3 linked regions of the Drosophila melanogaster genome follow. The gene in region 1 interacts genetically with each later gene. Each region holds a gene or a part of one and is shown in the gene's direction. Other genes may lie near its edges. The genes, in order: Hnf4, mdy and Pex19.

Region 1 (6,976 bases):
GCAATGCAATTCATACAAAGGCCTCCGGAAATAAACGTGAACACGTCTGTCAATGCATTGTTTAAAAAAAAAGATAAATTAAATTCAATTAACAAACAAGCGTTTTTTATAAGTGGTATTCCAAATATATTTTCACTTCCATCGCTCAAGCTTATATAAAGAAATTTTTCAAAAAGAACCTAATATATTTCTAATATATGCTTGGTAAACAACAACATGGTGTCCAAAAATAAATACAAGTTTTGCGTAGTTCGAGCAAAGTTCCCACCGAACTTGTGTTTGGCAGACGAATCATATGAATATGAATATATATGATGTACATATATAACTCACACATGCCTGCGAAACATTGTGGTCAAAAATCCAACTTAAAAAAATAAATTTTCCAATAGTCATATATTTAAGCAGACATTCCTATTATTTTAAGAATAAATAAATAAAAACATAAATAAGTAAAACACAATGGTGAGAGAAGGAGAGATCGCTACAGCACCGATGTATCGGTCAATACGAAAATTATCATCGTGGCGCGAATAATTGATTCTCTTATTTTGGAACCGCTCTCCAGATCCATTTATTTATACTTTTTGGAGGCTCGTCGTCTGCCTGTTACGAGTATTGCGTTCGGCATATTAATTAAATAAATTTTTAGAGAACACATATGAGTATTTATAGATAAAAGTTCTGCTTTGCTTTTATATGATGGTCAGGTGTTCACATTTGTTTGTTTTCACGAGAAACGTGAAATCCCTGTATGTATGTACATATGTATGTTATTGATTGCTGTTTTCGGCTCTTTCATTTTATCAGCGCATCATCCAAATAATACTATTTTCCGAATCAAGAATCCGATATTTTCTAATCTCAGATTACGATTTGCCCACCTCAGTGTGAGGCATCAAAATTTTTTTGCAATACTAACGATGACGCGGTCGGAAAAAAAGTGAACTCTAACGATGACTTGGCTAAAAATATAAAAATTACACCGCAGCCTGTTTCCCCCTCCCGCGGAGTGTGCGAGCGAAACGGCTGCGGTGGGCGAGAGAGATGGCGAGTGTGGGGCGAGACAGTTTTATGCGCGAAATGTTAGCAAACGAGTATTATGGTTTCTTATTTACCTTTTTTATTCGTTGCTGTTTCAGTGTATGTTTGCTTTTTCCTCTCCAACTGGTAGAACAACAACATTAAGTGTAAGAAAACAACAAATGCACACCCATAAACAGAGAGATAAGAACTTTTGGCAGTTGTATTTTTTACTTAAACTTCTCTTGGTCGAGCAACTGCTCTTATTTCGAGTTGGATTTTCAAGCGGTGAGGATATGTTTCAGGTGTATAATATCGGAATTGTCGGTGTACCGTGATTAACTGTCTGAGAATCTGTAAACAAAGTGAACAATTTGCTGTTTGGAGTGCAATCATGAAAAGTCTATTCAAATTGTAAATGTTTGCCAATCAATTACCTTTTAGAGAATTCCCTGCATATGAAAACTAATAAGGCAAATAGTGGAAAATCTGTGGGAACCACCCACTGCGAACGCTTCGAGATAATAACAGTATTTATACACCTATTAAAATGGTAATTGAAAGAATATTTTTTTAAATAATTATTTTAAATAATTCCATTCTATTCAATTTTCAAAAACAAGTATTCCTTAAAATCGACTGTACGAGCACTTTTATTGTTGTTTATTAAAAGTAACTACTATTTTCCGTCGATGCCTATTTTCCGCTTTACTAGTATTTCTATTTTCTCTCTTTCTCCGTCTCCCCAAATGATTTTCTCACACACGCAAACAGTCTCTCATAACGATGTCCAAATTAAAGCCGGCTTTTTTGTACACATTTTATTTATTTATTTGTTTATTCGTTTGGCCGATGTCGTTGTCGTTGATGTTGTTGTTGTTGCTTTTGCTCTTGCTTCTGCTTCTGTCCATTAAATGAATTTCTATCTCTGCGGCTGCGTGCCTCTGTGTTGGTGAGAGCCCCAAGTCTGGTTTTGGGGTCTCGCTCCCTCTCTGCGGGAAAGAAAGAGAGGGGTCGACATATGCAAACACAGTTGAATTGATTTAAGCGTCGATTAACGCACACACTCAAAACGCACGGTGGGAATTCGAGCTTTTTAAAACTAAATTTAGAAACTTCAGAACGCGTGGTGACGTGGTGATATATTGATATGATCGCACTTCAGAATACCTAACCAACTATGTTAGAATATAAAACTTCCAAAACAGAAATGTTAATAAGATTTAGAGGGGAAATTCATTATTTATTCGTTTATTAAAAAGTATTTTTTTGTAATAATATTATTTTCATATCCATGTCAAAAAGCTTACATAAAGCATTATGGAACATTATTAAACAGCTTTTATTTGTTTTCATAGAAAGAGAGTAATATTTATTAACGTAGAATTTTCTGAAATCAGACCACTGTGCGGTGGCGCAGAGAGAGCAGGAGAGGTGCCAAGAAACAACATACGATACCGCGACTGAAAAATTTCGAGTCGTGTGTTTTTTCATTAATCAGTTGCATTAAAATGGTGCGCAAGTCCGGTAGAGTTAAGATTTCTAGTCGCGATCGCGTTGCCGTTGGCAACATTCTGCTGCGTGGCAAAGTGGGCGGTGGGCGGGTGGCAGTTGCAGCGGCAGAGGAGGCAGAGGCGGGGCGACGTCGACGCAGGCGCGACAGCAGCGCCAGCCGAACTGCATCCAGTGACGGTCAGTTGTTGCTTTTATTTTTAATATTGTTGTTATTTGTGCAGTTTCTGTTTGTTGCTATTGCGCGATTTTTCGCTGGTTTTCACACAATCCCAACTCTATGACCACTGTGTATCGTACGTTATACAGCTGCGATCGAAATAAAAGAAAAACTAACAAAAATACCAGTAAATAATTTTTATTGGTACATATATACCTTTTTATGAAAAAATAGTAGTCTTAAAGGAACACATACACATTATTTAGTATCGACTTCATATTATATATGATAAAGAAAATTATTTCTCTATTAGACTCTGTGCAGAAATTTCGGACTGTGTATGTTTTTAATTGCTCTTTGATTGCAAAGATTGTCCGTGGATTTAAAATGGCATATCCAGTTGCTGCAAAACCTTAGCGAGGAATTTGCGTAGGCATGATCAAATTCTAAAACTGTGCGTGCGCCCAGCACCCGCAGCTTCAAAACTGTGGATCTCACCATGACGGAACACTTTTTACAACAAAGCGATTTACATTTGAAGATTAGAATATTTTCCATTTTAAAGAAGTAGAACTAGTTCGACTGGGCTGGTGGGGTTATGACTTTAAGAAGTATTTCAACAGTTTATATTGCTCACTTATTTACTGTACATATATTAAAGTTTAAGGCCGCCCTCGTAACATTTAAGACTGTGTCAGGAATATATGTACGTTTTTCTAATGAAGATTTTGTTCATACAACTCATCTTATGAATAACACTTTTACCTGCTTTTCGTTGCAGAATCGGAGAGCCACATAATGCACGCGGATGCCCTGGCCTCTGCCTATCCGGCTGCCTCGCAGCCCCACAGTCCGATCGGCCTCGCCCTCAGCCCCAATGGCGGTGGGCTGGGACTGAGCAACAGTAGCAACCAGAGCAGCGAGAACTTTGCGCTCTGCAACGGAAACGGAAATGCGGGCAGCGCAGGAGGCGGAAGTGCCAGCAGTGGCAGCAACAACAACAACAGCATGTTCTCACCCAACAACAACTTGAGCGGAAGCGGAAGTGGGACTAACAGCAGTCAGCAGCAATTGCAGCAGCAACAACAACAGCAATCACCGACGGTCTGCGCCATTTGTGGAGATCGGGCGACGGGCAAACATTATGGAGCCTCCAGCTGCGACGGCTGCAAAGGATTCTTCAGGAGGAGTGTCAGGAAAAATCATCAGTACACTTGCAGGTACACATATGTCCTTATACGGGACTAGTAGGGAGATTAAGATTTTCCCAATGCCAAATTTCCAGTCAGAAATAATTTGTATAATTCATAACGATAACCCTGGTGGGACGTGTCGGGACCTGGCGGAAAATTCTAAGTTTACGACTATCTATACGCATTCGTTACTCAACTTAAACTTCTCTTGGCAGATTTGCGCGAAACTGCGTTGTGGACAAGGACAAACGGAATCAGTGCCGCTACTGCCGGCTGAGGAAGTGCTTCAAGGCGGGCATGAAGAAGGAGGCGGTGCAAAACGAGCGGGATCGCATTAGCTGCCGCCGCACCTCCAATGACGACCCGGATCCGGGCAATGGGCTGTCTGTGATTTCCTTGGTTAAGGCGGAGAATGAGTCGCGTCAGTCGAAGGCAGGCGCTGCCATGGAGCCAAACATTAACGAGGACCTCTCCAACAAGCAGTTCGCGAGCATCAACGATGTCTGCGAGTCGATGAAGCAGCAGCTGCTGACCCTGGTGGAATGGGCTAAGCAGATTCCGGCCTTTAACGAGCTGCAGCTGGATGACCAGGTGGCACTGCTACGCGCCCATGCTGGCGAGCATTTGCTCCTCGGCCTGTCTCGTCGTTCGATGCACTTGAAGGATGTTCTCCTGCTGAGCAACAATTGTGTGATCACAAGGCACTGTCCAGGTAATGTTTTTGATACTATCAAAACCTATAAGTGAAATTGGTATAACCTTTGCAATCATTCTTTTTCCAGATCCCCTTGTGTCGCCGAATTTGGACATCTCCCGGATCGGCGCCCGTATCATCGATGAACTGGTGACGGTCATGAAGGATGTGGGTATCGATGACACTGAATTCGCTTGCATCAAGGCCCTAGTCTTCTTCGATCCCAGTGAGTTATTTAACTTATTTACAAAAGTGACCGTTTAATAATTGGTTCTTCAAATAACTTTAGATGCCAAGGGTCTTAATGAACCGCATCGCATCAAATCGCTACGGCATCAGATACTCAATAATCTCGAGGACTACATATCAGATCGGCAATACGAGTCGCGCGGTCGCTTTGGCGAGATTCTGCTCATCCTGCCGGTTCTGCAGTCTATTACCTGGCAGATGATCGAGCAGATCCAGTTTGCCAAGATCTTTGGAGTGGCCCACATTGATTCATTACTGCAGGAAATGTTGTTGGGAGGTCAGTATTTAAATGTTGCAAATATACGTTTGGAACAATTTATTAATTTAATTTTTGTGTGTGTGTTAATAGGAGAGTTGGCCGACAATCCTCTGCCGCTATCGCCGCCCAATCAGTCAAATGACTACCAGAGTCCCACCCACACAGGCAACATGGAGGGCGGTAATCAAGTTAACTCCTCTCTGGACTCGCTGGCCACGTCCGGTGGTCCTGGCTCGCATAGTCTGGACCTGGAGGTGCAGCACATTCAGGCTCTTATCGAGGCGAACAGTGCGGATGATTCCTTCCGGGCCTACGCGGCCAGCACTGCAGCGGCAGCCGCTGCAGCCGTCTCGTCCTCCTCCTCTGCACCCGCATCCGTTGCTCCAGCCTCGATCTCTCCTCCGCTCAACAGCCCCAAGTCACAACATCAACATCAGCAACATGCGACGCATCAGCAACAACAGGAGAGCTCCTACTTGGACATGCCCGTCAAGCACTACAATGGCAGTCGGTCCGGACCGCTGCCAACACAGCACAGTCCCCAGAGGATGCATCCCTACCAAAGAGCAGTCGCCTCGCCGGTCGAAGTGTCCAGCGGGGGCGGCGGATTGGGTCTGCGCAATCCTGCCGATATTACGCTCAACGAGTACAACCGGAGCGAGGGTAGCAGTGCCGAGGAGCTGCTGCGACGAACTCCACTGAAGATCCGGGCTCCCGAGATGCTAACCGCACCCGCTGGTTATGGAACGGGTGCGTAGTAGATTGATTCGAAGCAAGAAGACATTTCAATAATATATTTTATATACTATTTCAGAACCCTGTCGCATGACACTTAAACAGGAGCCAGAGACTGGTTACTAGAAGAATAACGAACGGTGCAATATGCAGTTTGCAATAGGACACCCCTTAAGCACACAACCCATACACATACAGGCCCTCTCTTGCTGTACTCCCCACCAAGTGCTATATAGAGATGAAATTGAAATGAAGAACTTACTTAATTGTTATGCCTTGAACCATTTTGATACTTTTTATTAGTCCTAAGTAGGTATTTTGGAAATTGTTGCTTAATTTTTAATGTTTAACGCAGTTGCAATATATTTTTGGAGTCATATTTTGCTCAAGAAGTTTATTATATACAATTATACTATATATATACACCATTTAGCATGTACTGAGTTTGTTGGTTATTTGGTTATCTTATACTTGTGCGTGGATCACAAAACATTCATATAAGGCCATGCAATATATTGTTTTAGGTTAGGGTGTTGTCTAGATTATGCTGAAAGTGTAATATATATTTAATTTTAAACAAAGAACTATTTTTATATGAATATGTATAATATACAAACTATTTCTAAGATGGCTGAATGAATAAACAAAATCAAAATAAACACTGGAGAATATGAATGTAAATCGTTTACTGCGGCATTTTTACTAGTAATAAATATTACTATAATTTATAATTTATGCCATCTCTTTCAGCAACAACTTTAAATATCCAAACTGATAAAGCGATATATGTTCCTATGCTCCCACTTAGAACGTAACCCTGATCCTGCATAGAAAAAATTCAATAACGTATTACAAAGACTAACTAACGTTTATTTATCGATATTGCTAATGCCCGTCTTCTCGACCTGGGCGAGGAGCTCTTGGAGCTTGTTGTCGAAGAGCTCGCATCGAATGGGCATCTCCAGGGAGTAGAAGGGGTTCTTGAGCACGTAGTCTGAGTACAGCTCGTAAACCTTTCGCAGCAGCAGATCAATGCCATTGAGACCCGTTTCCGAGATTATAATGAACTTGATTCCGGTCAGCGTTTGGAAGCAGTGCAGCGTGAAAGTGTCCGCCTCTAGGATCTCGATGCCGGAACTCTTGGGCTCCGG
Region 2 (5,455 bases), 8.1 Mb from region 1:
AAATCTATATCACACCCACGCCCCAAACAAGTAGCTCTGGTTTTAGACCCATGACGATGAGCAGCACTACCACCGTGGGAACCACTCAATCGACCATAACTACTCCTTTGTCCATTTATCAGCGAGCCAGCACAACCACCAGTAATCGTTTACTGATCCCCCAGACGAGCAATCTAGCGCAGAGACCCACAGTGGCTCCTGCTCCCAGTGAACCCACCACAGACTCTCTTTTCTCGCACTACAAGCAACCACCGAAACCGCTACTAGGACCCATGTACCTCATCATCGAGGGTCATTCGAAAGTGAAGACCTACGGTCAAAATGAATTGGATCCACATAGTCCGAAGATAGTGCCGGTTATCTCCAAGAGGGAACCAGTAGTTAGGATAGCCGATCCTAATGAGAAGAGGGGAACTGTGGAGTCCTATCAGGTAAAACATTTGCACACCAAAACAACACCAATGACAACGACAACCACGACTAATAAGCCCACTACCATGAAACCTACGACGACAAGGGCGCCTGAAAAAACTCCTATATATAGCACCACCACTAAGGCTCCAGTAGTAAGCACTAGCACTACAACCGTTGCCACCGCTACGAAAACCACAACTTCAACAACCACTAAAGTGCCCATAATCAGCACCACCCCTTTAATTCCACCACAACCCACTCCAGAAAAGCCAAGCGGTGTAAACGATCTGCTTAGTCTACTGGACAATATGTTTGCCGATGCCCAAAAGATGGGCTCATCCACTGATTTACCTTTGGTAGCAAGTTCTACTACCAGCACTGTGCTGAGGCCAGTTAGCACCAAGTTGTTGCCGCAGCAACCGGAACCTAGGATATCCAGTAAAGGGGCGGGCATAGAGAGTCTCCTTAAAGATGACACCCATGAAGATGACGAAGCTGGCGAAGGTCTGGGGTCAACGATTTCCACTGAAACACCACCTCGGGCAACACGTCAGGTATTTGACTATGATCAATTGCCTGAGTCACGGATTAAAGACGGGGTCACCACCAGTGATGATATTATGGAATACAATGATGAAGATGAGGAGGAGGGCATTGAGGATGATAATGAAACGGTTACTGAAAATGATGAGGATGAGGAGGAGGAGGAGGAGGCTGAAGAGCCAAACAATTTACTCAAACGAATCGATCAATTTGTGGATGATGTGGATGATGGGGAAGACGACTTGGAGGATCTTATCGAGGGTCTGGAGGAGGACGAGATCGACGAGAGGCGACAGCAGCATTAGCCCAAAACAAGCATTTTTCTTGAACTGCGCTCTATACCAAATCTATCAGAAACTTTTTCTCACGCCTAATACGTTCTTGTACATAAGTCAGCTTTAATTGAATCTGTATTTATTTGTTGTTAGTTGTTAGGCCCTGCTGGCGTCACAATGTGACTGCGTTCTATACCCAATGTAATTCGAGCAAAGAGTTTTCGTTGTGTAATTAAGCATTAAATTATTGAAATTTTTCTACGTTTTTTAGTTGTTAAGTGTGAAAATAAAAAAAAAACCAAAACGAAATACGATATACGATATACGAAAATAAAATACAATAGAGCCATCTATTGGGGAGATCAGTCGATTGCGCCACCTTGTGCGCGACAAGCGGGACCTGCACTAGAGAGTCTTTGTCTTTCTACACAAATATTAAAAAAGGGGTAAGTTAAAATACTGATGGATAATCCAAACATATTATCTCATTGAAAAGTATGTCTATACCCTTAATGCTCACTGGAAATAATTATACATTAATGAATAACACAGTCGTTTTTCTTTTCTATGAATAATAATAATTTTGCGTTTCAAATGTACCGCCAAATTTCCTTCCAGTAAATATCGATCGTTCACTGTTCGATACCGATAGCCAAAGTTTATCAGACAGTGCTGACATGTTAGCGGAAAATATGTAAGCAAAATTCAAATTGTTTCTGAGTATTCATTAATACAATATTATTACTTATTACTGTCTTTAGGATGAAAACTATTGACGATTGTAGCTCTTACTGTTTTATCATGAAAAAATCGTGAAAAAATCATTTTCCCGCTCAACTCCGGACATCACTGATGTCGAGCCTATTGCTTTGTTTATTTCCAGTTGTATTTTCCAAGCGTCAGTTGAGAACTCGTCGTTGAAGCGTGCGGTTTACGGTAAAAAGAGGCCGCTTCCAGTACGTGAAAATAAGTCTGCTCTTGTTGAAAGAAACAACAAAAACTTGCCAATTGGATTAAATTGTGTGCAAGGTGTGCTAAACTGAGTAGACAAATAATATATTATTAACTAGGTACAAACAATACAAGGCACACAAAGTTCCCAGAGTTCAAGTAAAAAATTAAACGATCAGTGTGATATTTTTTTGTGTGTTTGTTTACGCTTCTTCGGCGATCTTCGTTCTCTGTCTAACTCTCGCTTTTGTTTGAAGTTTTCGATGGCGGAGTAATGAACTTGAGCGAATAAGAAGAAGATCTGCAAGTGCAGTTGTTCCAATCGGTAATGTGTTTCTGGCACCCACTGAAAAGAAAACAAAAACAACAAGTGGCAAACACGTGCAGTGTGATTTGGTGACTCAAAGCCCATTAAAGCGGCTAAATTTTATGAGAACAGCAGCTAAGCAGATAAAAAACAAGATATACCTAACAACAAATCGTATATAGACGAATACGGAGGCTTTATTTTTGCATACCATATAGCCATCATAAATTAGTGAAACTATCTCCGCCTTCCCTTGAATTGAATGAGCGTTGATAATGTCTATATAACTAAATGTGTGAATGCGTGTGCATATATTTGACCAATGGCTGTATAACCTTGATCCGGGCATTGCGTCGCAAACTAAAAAAAAAAAAACAAAAAAAAAAACATTTCCGAAATGTGGCGGCGTCGTCTCCATCAAACAGAAAAAGCCAAACAGTAAAAACCAAACAAACTTCTATGCCAAAAAACCGGTTTATGCTGAAAACCCAAACAGAGAGCACTTCTGACCGGAGATAAAATGACCCAGCAAAAGAGAGAGCTTGTGTCTGGTTGGGAAAACAAATTCCATTCCACTTAGAAATTATCAGTGGCACGGCAAATGTCAGAATCCGGCTGATAAGAGCATTGTTGTTTCATTCTGATTAGAGGAAGCCGGCGAAATTTTTGTGTATTTTTCCTCTCGATAATTTGTAGGCTACAGTGAAGCTTGTCATGGTTAACTTCACATTACATTAAACTTAACATGGTGTCTTTAAAAATGCGGTTTATGTTTGAAATCAATTATAAATATTTCATTCTCCAAAGTTAGATTGATTCCAGCAAAAACGCCTCATAGAATTTCGACTCTAGCTGGTATGCATCCGTTTTACATGGTAAGGGGCAAGAAAATTGTGATTAGGGTGGCCCAGCCAGACATGTCTACCCTGGCAACATGATAACGTGGGTATTATGCAATCTCCGAGTTTATGAACCGCAGCTTGAGCAGCTTGATAACCTTTATCAATCGATGTTCCATTGGGCGGCGTTCGCCACTCAAGTTGATGAATCTACTTGAGTTACTGACCTACTTTTATCATCGCTATGGAAAGTTCTTCCTTATAAAGCCGCAACCGGTTCCGACAGTAATTATCCGTCCTACATGGACAACTAAAATGTTTGGAATATTTTCACCATTTTAAGTTCGCCCTAGGGCAGAGCACAAAATAAAGATCAACAGTGCTCAATAAATAGACGAAACTTTTCCAAGATCCATTATCATTCTGCTGCAGTTACCGCTGTACCGCCCCCACCTTCGATTGTTTAAATATAAACCGAAAGTTCAACAAACTAATCGTCAAACCGCAGAGAGCATTCAATTCAGGTTCGGTTTCCACATGCGGGTTGTATATGTGTGTTCTTACATATCTATTCAAACAGCAGAGGTCACAATTGTAGCGCATTTATAAATATATAACTCAAATGAAGCTAGACGTTGAAATATACATTTTTAATAAGAACCCACAATGAGTCGACTTTGCTTTCTTCTTTTACCTTGCACTTCAAAATATCTCTACAGTTCTATCCTGATTAACTTATTTGCACGGATTTATAATATGTATATTAATGGGTGCATATAATGCAATCTCTCTTTGAATGCTTCATGTACATCTCGGACTGCCTCGGTCCTCGATGCCTGTAAATTACTCATCATTCGGTTGATGGGCCATAACGAGCTCCGACTTGAAGTTCTGAATGACGTTGCGTCACGGTGACTCGACTGAAATCGTACTGAACTCCCCATGAACGAACATATGAGATTGGAGTATATGTCTTTGTTGCACTTGGATCAGTTCAACGCACTGAATAATTATGTAAAACTTTGTGTTTTCCGCCAGTGGAATACTAAATACACGCTGCGAGACAAAAATTGCTAAAATTCTTCATCTGTCCTTTTTTCAAAACCATAAATTATTTCAATCCTGAACTCGAATCGTATACATTACAACTTTCAAAAGCCATTACTGAAAAGGTTGGCATCCACGATCACTTAAATTGATTTTTCGGTTCATTAGCGATAAGCAGCGATAGTGATCGAACTTTGATGTCAAATAAACAAGGTATCAACAAACTACTCGCATAAAACAATTAGGTAAAAATGGTTGCCTTCGTAACATGACGTAGATTTTGTTACCTAAGATATCTTTTCAACAGATAACACACACAAATTTCGTCATTAATTTTAGTTGCATACATATATGTAGGTATTTCACTGATTTATAAATATTAAATAATTGCTGAGACAACAATTTCCTAATCGTATCTTGCTACTCGTTGTTTAACAAAAACAAGTTACGTGAACGCAAATCTATAACTTGAATCGCATTTGTATTCAAAAATAGAATCTGCACATATCAACCGTTTATTTGTTGATGATTCTTGAGTTCTATACAATTTTCATTGCAAAAGGTGGATGTGGATTTGAAACTTTGAGGCTTAACGGCGATAATGCCCTCCCATTTGGTTGACATGCGATCTTGACTGTGGGAGCTAATGTCAAGTACGATCGTAGCAGCTTTACAACTGGTTTTAAACGATTTAAGTGAGAAGCTGTTGGCTTAACCACATTATCAAATGCGGGCTCAATGTCTATGCAAATCGGTATCTGATTACTCAATCAGCAATCTCTCAGTCAGCTGAACTTTGACCTCAAGCCGCATTTTGCTTCTGGTTTTGTATGGATCTATTTATTCTCTAACATACATATAGCTCTGTTTACTAATAAACTAATATATGACCAGCTTCAGCAAGTAATAAAACGATTTTCATAAATAAAAAACAAGATATGTGCTTAAGACATCTTATTACTTAATTACCCTCATTATTTCTTATCTCAGTTGCGTATTTATTCAATAGATAAGCGACTCTGAAAATGCCTCCACTGTTTACAACCTCCTGGGATCCCATCTGAGTTATTTGTGTGTCA
Region 3 (6,515 bases), 3.4 Mb from region 1:
CACATGACATTCGTCATGCACTCAGCGAAAATACTTAGCAAATGTTGTTCATGCAAAGAAATATTCATATTCTGTATAATTATTGCTTAAGAATATATATTTTTCAGTACCTAAATGTATAAGAATGAAGAAGCTATAAATTAAATAATAAATAGTTAGTTAGTTGAAAGGGATTATCTTCCTGTGTATTGGGACGTCACAGAGTCTGGCTGAATTTTCGCCGATCATGTAGGAAGTGTCCCAGGGGCAAAAAGGGGAGCCCCTGCCACATACACCCACTTTCGAGAAACTCATTAGCCTGGGGCACAACAAACCCGGCAACTCGGGGCACAAACAAACCAATCCCGAGCCCAATCGACTGCTAAACGCTGTCGGCACACATCTGAGAGACGGCGACGGAGGCCAACAAATTGATCATTAAACAGAAGGCGCAAATGTAGGCGCAACCCATCGTTGTCCAACAGAAGATCGTAGCATCGGAGCATCAGGTCGAGATCAAACACCTGGGCCCTCGACCTGGCGAAGAAAGTGACGAGGCTGCGACGTCAACAAGATTAATTTGTTTTCCGGCCGGGTTCCATCTCCATCCAGAGTCACAGAGCCACATCCACATCCATATTTCCCAACTCAGCCGGCAACCTGTTGTCCAGTTCCCCGATTTGTAATTGCCCTGCTTTGTGGTAGTCGATCAGGTTCGATCGCGGATCGATCATATACTCTACTATAATGGACAAACTCGATGGATGGCGAAAGAACATCATTAGTTTTCTCGGCGTAGAGTCCACAAAGTAGGTGGCGTTTTTCTCACATCCCGAGTGTTTCTATGGAATCTCGATTTGGAGATGTTGGATCTTCTCTTCGGCGGCGTTTGTCCATTAGCCACGGTTTGCATCGGATATATGCGAATTTAAATAAAATCATTCAATTGTTTCATTAATCACTGGCTACGGTCGGCGTTTTCTATTAAAAAAAATGCATTGCCAATGGAAAAATTGACTGCAGAGACCGTGATTATTTATACATTAGTGGGAAAGAATCTTCAGTTTTATGCGAAGAGCTTAAAAAGTTTCTCATGATGTCCTACTTAGAAGTGGTTTTATGTTTTAGCAATCTATAATTTCTATGAAACTTAATTGGGAGTAATTCCTAACCACTGTAATAAAAACTATTTGACCTGAGGAAGCCAAAAGCAGCTCTTGAGCCACCAAATCGATTGGGAAACATAAAACATATATGTGCTGCAGTTCACGATAAAAAAAAAGCAGGGCATGGCGAATTGGGAGGCTGCAACCGAAACGCACACTTAATTTCCGCTTAATCAAACAGAACAGCGACTGGGGGGGCACAGACAGAGCAACCCACATCATCTGGAGTCGGCTACCCTTCGACCCAATCCTCTAGAGGAAAACGTATGGCAGACGCAAGGGCTCATTTGCATGGCCACTTTGATGGAGAGCGATGGGTGTCGGAGCATGAAGAGCTCGCCCCATTGCGCAATGGTTGATGGTGGATGTTGTATGTTGGATGGTGGATGTGGGTGTCTTGTCTTTCGGGAAGCTGCCAGCAGTTGACTTCTCCAGTTCTTCTTTTCGGGGCAGGATTTCAAAGGAAAAGTGAGCGTTTTCCAGGAATGACTGGGAGCCTTGTAATCGCAATTACCATGGCCAAAATATCAAAAGATAATGCCATCCTGGCCAGACACAAAAATATGTCGAAACATATATAAATATCTTATATTTTGTGATACTTGAATGATTAATACAAGGTGTACTAAAGCTACAAGTTATTTTGAATGTAATGTAACATTCAGATTTCTAGAATCAGAGTTTAATTTAATTAGTATAATTTTTTTATTTTAAAGAACTTTTATTCCTTTTATATTACATATATATTACATATATTTAGTGTCTTAATTTATTTACTCCTTTATATATACTTATTATTTACACTTTATTACCATAGCCACACGACACCAGCCACAATATAAATAATGTGTCTATAAAGTCGCAATCATCGTCATTACCGAACAATCGCGAAATCCATTATATCCTGTTCAGTGCATCGTAAAATCGAGCATCTTTCGCTGGAAGGATGCGGAAATGTTGAAAAAAATAGCGATGCGATCAGCGAGCGTGAAATCGCAGTCAGCATATGAAAAGGATGTACAGGATCGTATCCTGGCAAAGTTCCTGCAAAAAGGAAGGGAAGTGTAGATGCTTGTGAAGACGCTGATGGGCATTTTATGACGGTTGGAATCCTTCCTCTTCTGGGGAAATAGAGCTGGAGATTCAGGTAAATTCAGCTAGTCTAGCAAACCGATTATATCGGAATAAACAACTTTATGACGCGCCTGTTGGTGCCTTAAAAATTATGTCAAAAAAGAGCGAGTTTCTTGGTTTATTGGGATCGGGTGTGAGTGTGACCCAAAAACCATTGTTTTGGCCAACGAAGGGGTTTTTACGTTTTCGACTTTTGTTTTGACTTTTTGACGGTTGTCTTGACTTTTTGAACTGAACTGCTTGGGTTCTAAGAAATTTGAAGTTGAACTATATACTCTGATGTTCGCAGCGAATAGAGAATGAAATTTTTCCCTAAAAAGAGAGTTATGGTTTTTAGGGAAATTTTTGATGTTATATGTATGCATATTCTGTAAATGGATTACAGCCCATAAAAAGTCAAATTACCCTGTTTCTGTAGGAAATGTAAGAGTTTCAGGCGGTTTGTTCCACCCTAAGCCGCAAAATAAAACACCAAATTATGCATTATTTCAGTCGAAGCTCCGCCCATGCTGACATTTTCAGAGAACCGACTGACCGAAGAAAACTCCGCCCCAATAGTGGAAATAGAGGAAAAAACACAAATTTACCACAATACTTCGCTGCGTGGGCGTACCGAATCGAAGATTCGTTTTGCTCTTCTGGTAAACCGTGCGGTTAAAGTCGCAAAGAGCACAGCCCATCCCAGCCCAGCCATTTGACCATATGAGCGGAATTGAGGAAACCAAGCGGGGTTCCTCCGCAGCGGTGACCTTCGGGCGGGAGTGGACCTAGAGCTGGACGCCCTACTGCAAAATCCATGTGTCCCGTCCATGGGTGTGACGTTCTGGTTTCGGAATTGGTCGCGCATCAGCGTCGCGCCGTGACCTTGATGGTTTTGCGACCCCTCCCTCACCACTCAGTATGTGCGGTTTGGGCTCTGGTCGCAGTTTGGTCGCCGATCTCCGTCCGCGCACAGCGAGGTGCCATTCCCGGGGAGATTGGCTGAGAGTTTCGCAGAAGATGCGTAAATATTTTGGGTGATTATTTTAGATAATCTTCGACTAATGTCCTTGGTTTGTCTCTCAAGACAGGAGGGATATTGAGGTGCTTCGAATTTAAGTTTATTAGTCTGATGTAGGCCTAGATTTAAATATGTACACTATTATATTGTAGATGGGTGTACTGATGACTTGTTGTTGTAAGACATATAATTTTCTAAATCAAAACTCGAAATTTTCATTGACAATAAATATATGTTATATGAATTAAATGGCTAGACATTTTCACACTTATGTGTAGTCCACAATAATAATGCATTCCAGATTATTTCGAAATAGGTATTCTGAACTTGTTTTGAACTTTATATAATAGTAACAAATAAGAATTCTTAATTTAAGGAATATATTTACTAAAAATTAAACAAAATATAGCTATTTTTCTTAAAAAAAACATTAAATGCATTTAAAAGTTGTTTAAGTAATATGAATTTTGTCTAAGCCCTAACCGAAACTGAAATCTTAAAATTAAAACCAACAATTATATAGAAAAGTTAATTTTTAAATTTTTTTCTTATCATTTCGCATCCTTTTAAAAAGCCGTTACGAATGCGGTCGCACTAAGATGTGAGTCAGTGTAGCCACACCTGTTCAGCTGACTGCGGTATGCACCAGCAGCAGATGAACGGTCCCACTGATTGATTCAGTCAGTCTTTATTTTTTACCATTTCCCACCCACCACGAAATCAAGGAAAAGCATCCCGAAATTGCACAATGTCCGAAGAAAAGAAGAATGGCGATGAATTAAACGACTTGCTGGACAGTGAGTACAGCCCGGAAATGCCTTTGGCGATCCCTTCTCGACCCCTTACATAATGCGCACTGCGTCGTCCACTTTTCGCACAGGTGCTCTCCAGGATTTCGATAAAAGTGGTGCCGGTGACCAAAAGGAGCCGTCCGCATCATCGGATGTGGCGACCAACGCTGGACCTGAGGGCTCCGAGGATCCAGATGCGTTTTTCATGTGAGTCAATGCGCCAGTGCAACGCGGCACTTGAACTTTGTATTCTGACCTGTTATCCGCCTTCAGTGAGCAGGCCAAGGTGCTGGCCGATCGCATGAACACGCTCTTCGGAGGTCCGGACACGCCCAGTGGCGATATTCCGCCGCTGCCCCAGGATCCCGACCAGATCATGGCCGGTTTCAAAAAGATGGCCGAAGCGGCAGCGCTCACCTTGAGCGGCGAAAATTCGGCCACCGACGAGGATGTCTCCAAGTATTCTGATAGCATTTCCCAGGCTCTCAAGGGTCTGCAAGAGGGCTCCGAGAACCTGGCTGCTCCCGCCTCGGAGAACGACATAGCCAGCATGTTTGGTTCACTGAATCTTGAAGGGGTATGCATCCTGAAAATGAAATATGAATTCTCCTTGCTCAATCATTAAACAATCCCCGTTTGACAGGCTGGCGAGGGTGATGGAAACATGTTCCTACCATTCATGGAGGGCATGATGCAGAGCCTGCTCTCGGCGGAGATTCTGTTGCCCAGCATCCGGGAGCTGCTGGAGAAGTACCCCAAGTACCTCGAGGAGAACGACGCCAAGCTCTCCGCTGAGGACAAGGAAAGGTATGCTCGAAATCAACTCGCAATAAGATACTTTTATTGAGAAACCAATACATACAGGTACCAGAAGCAGATGGAGCTGTACAAGGTGATTGAGGGGCATTTACAGAGCGAGAAGACCGAGGATTCGGCCGCCGTGAAGCGAGAGAAGTTCCGCGTCGTGCTGGACGACATGCGCAAACTGCAAGACTACGGCCAGCCGCCGCCAGAGATTCTGGCCGAGACGGGCGGCGACTTGCCCTTCGGCGATCCCACTGCCGGCGTAGCAGCCGGCGGTCCCGGTCCCCAGTGCCCAACCATGTAGTGGCTGACGGAGCACGATAGTCTCGTGGTGTGCCAATTGGTTAACTGTTGAGTGTTGCACATTTTTTAGGCTAAGGCAAATTTGTATTTTATTTTATCACCGACAAAACAATACGGCGGTCGCTAATGGTTATCACCTCTCTCTTCAATCAAGCTATTATTTTCGTATTAACTGTTGGTTTATTAAGTAGTTCTATACCTAAATACAATGCCTCGAAATACACCTAGAGGAAGAAGCGACGTCGCGACTCCATGGCGTGCCGTTTGTTGCTGATTATCCAGGCATAGTCACCGGTCTTGCTGTCGAATGTGCCCTCCTGCAGGGAACGTAGTTTCAGGGTGAACCGCGGCCCCAGTTCGCGCAGCTTTACGCGTTTTCCCTCTTTGGTGAACTCGTAGCGGTGGTGACGGAAGAATATGTAATCTCGCTGATTGTGGAACGTCACCGCTCGGCGGCCGCGGAACTCGGGATCGTGATGGAAGAGGGCACCCAGCATGCGGCCCACGGTCAGACCCAAACGTGTGGTAAAATTGTTCAGGATCACTTCGGGCCTGTGCTTGGTTATCTCCTTGTGATCGCGCTTTATGTCCGAGGTGAGCTTCACGTTGGACAGCTTGAAGTGGGCAGTGGGACCATTGGGCAGATGAATGACCAGCAGCCCATTGGGCTTTCTGCGATCTTCGTTAACGATCACGACGTCTGTGAACTCCTCGCGCTCGGCGCTTTTGCATATCTTCTTCACCGACGACTTGTTGCGAATCTTAACCAGGGCGTTGGGGAATATGCGCGAAAGCTCCAGTCCAAACTTACGCGTCTTGGTCACCGGATTGTCAGCAAAAGTGATCAGCACCTTTGGCTCGTACGAACGTTCGAAGTACGAGCTGAAATCGTCCAGTTGGAGTTCCTTTTGCAACTCCTCGTTGTCGGAATCGTTCAGATTGGCCACCTCTGTTTGGTCCTTCTCTCGCAGGCTCTCTATGGTGTGACCAGGATTGGCGGGTACACCAGCCTTCCGTCGGGCACGGCGCTCCTGCATTTTTTTCTTGTGCTTCTCCTTCTTCATTTTTTTGTACAACGCCAAACGCTGCTCCTTGTTGCGCATCCAGCTGAGGGGATTCAAAACAGGAATTCGTGTCTTCTTGTCGTCGTCGTCGTCATCATCCTCTTCTTCGTCGTCGTCGTCATTCTCCTCCTCATCGTCGTCATCATCCTCTTCCTTTAAATCCTCACTGGCTTCCCCTTGTTTGGCCGTTTTTTTGCTGCTGGAGGCGGCTTCTTCATCGCTGCTATCAGTGACTGGCCCCTCCTGGACTTCCAAATCCTGTGGCTCCTCCTCG

What was found.
Region 2: of Hnf4 (region 1) and mdy, changing one suppresses a phenotype caused by changing the other (phenotypic suppression), as found in Drosophila melanogaster (one study listed by BioGRID).
Region 3: of Hnf4 (region 1) and Pex19, changing one suppresses a phenotype caused by changing the other (phenotypic suppression), as found in Drosophila melanogaster (one study listed by BioGRID).

The regions. Positions count from the first base shown.
Region 1 is NT_033779.5:8,686,753-8,693,728, reverse strand, and holds Hnf4 (hepatocyte nuclear factor 4), read left to right. Parts: upstream 1-2,519; 5' UTR 2,520-2,534; coding exon 2,535-2,715; intron 2,716-3,476; coding exon 3,477-3,915; intron 3,916-4,103; coding exon 4,104-4,600; intron 4,601-4,670; coding exon 4,671-4,808; intron 4,809-4,871; coding exon 4,872-5,108; intron 5,109-5,180; coding exon 5,181-5,840; intron 5,841-5,904; coding exon 5,905-5,951; 3' UTR 5,952-6,476; downstream 6,477-6,976. Other genes in the region: Trs23 (TRAPP subunit 23), read right to left, coding at 6,695-6,976. UniProt on the Drosophila melanogaster protein: Transcriptionally controlled transcription factor. Important for the differentiation of various specialized cell types that arise from both endoderm and mesoderm. May have a role in early gut formation.
Region 2 is NT_033779.5:16,814,532-16,819,986, forward strand, and holds the start of mdy (midway), read left to right. Parts: upstream 1-2,128; 5' UTR 2,129-2,508; intron 2,509-2,576; exon of another isoform or gene 2,577-2,928; intron 2,929-5,455. Other genes in the region: CG13272 (uncharacterized protein), read left to right, coding at 1-1,262.
Region 3 is NT_033779.5:12,089,835-12,096,349, forward strand, and holds Pex19 (peroxin 19), read left to right. Parts: upstream 1-1,987; 5' UTR 1,988-2,292; exon of another isoform or gene 2,293-2,524; intron 2,525-3,853; 5' UTR 3,854-4,027; coding exon 4,028-4,076; intron 4,077-4,159; coding exon 4,160-4,277; intron 4,278-4,343; coding exon 4,344-4,647; intron 4,648-4,713; coding exon 4,714-4,877; intron 4,878-4,934; coding exon 4,935-5,178; 3' UTR 5,179-5,401; downstream 5,402-6,515. Other genes in the region: CG6712 (uncharacterized protein), read right to left, coding at 5,402-6,515.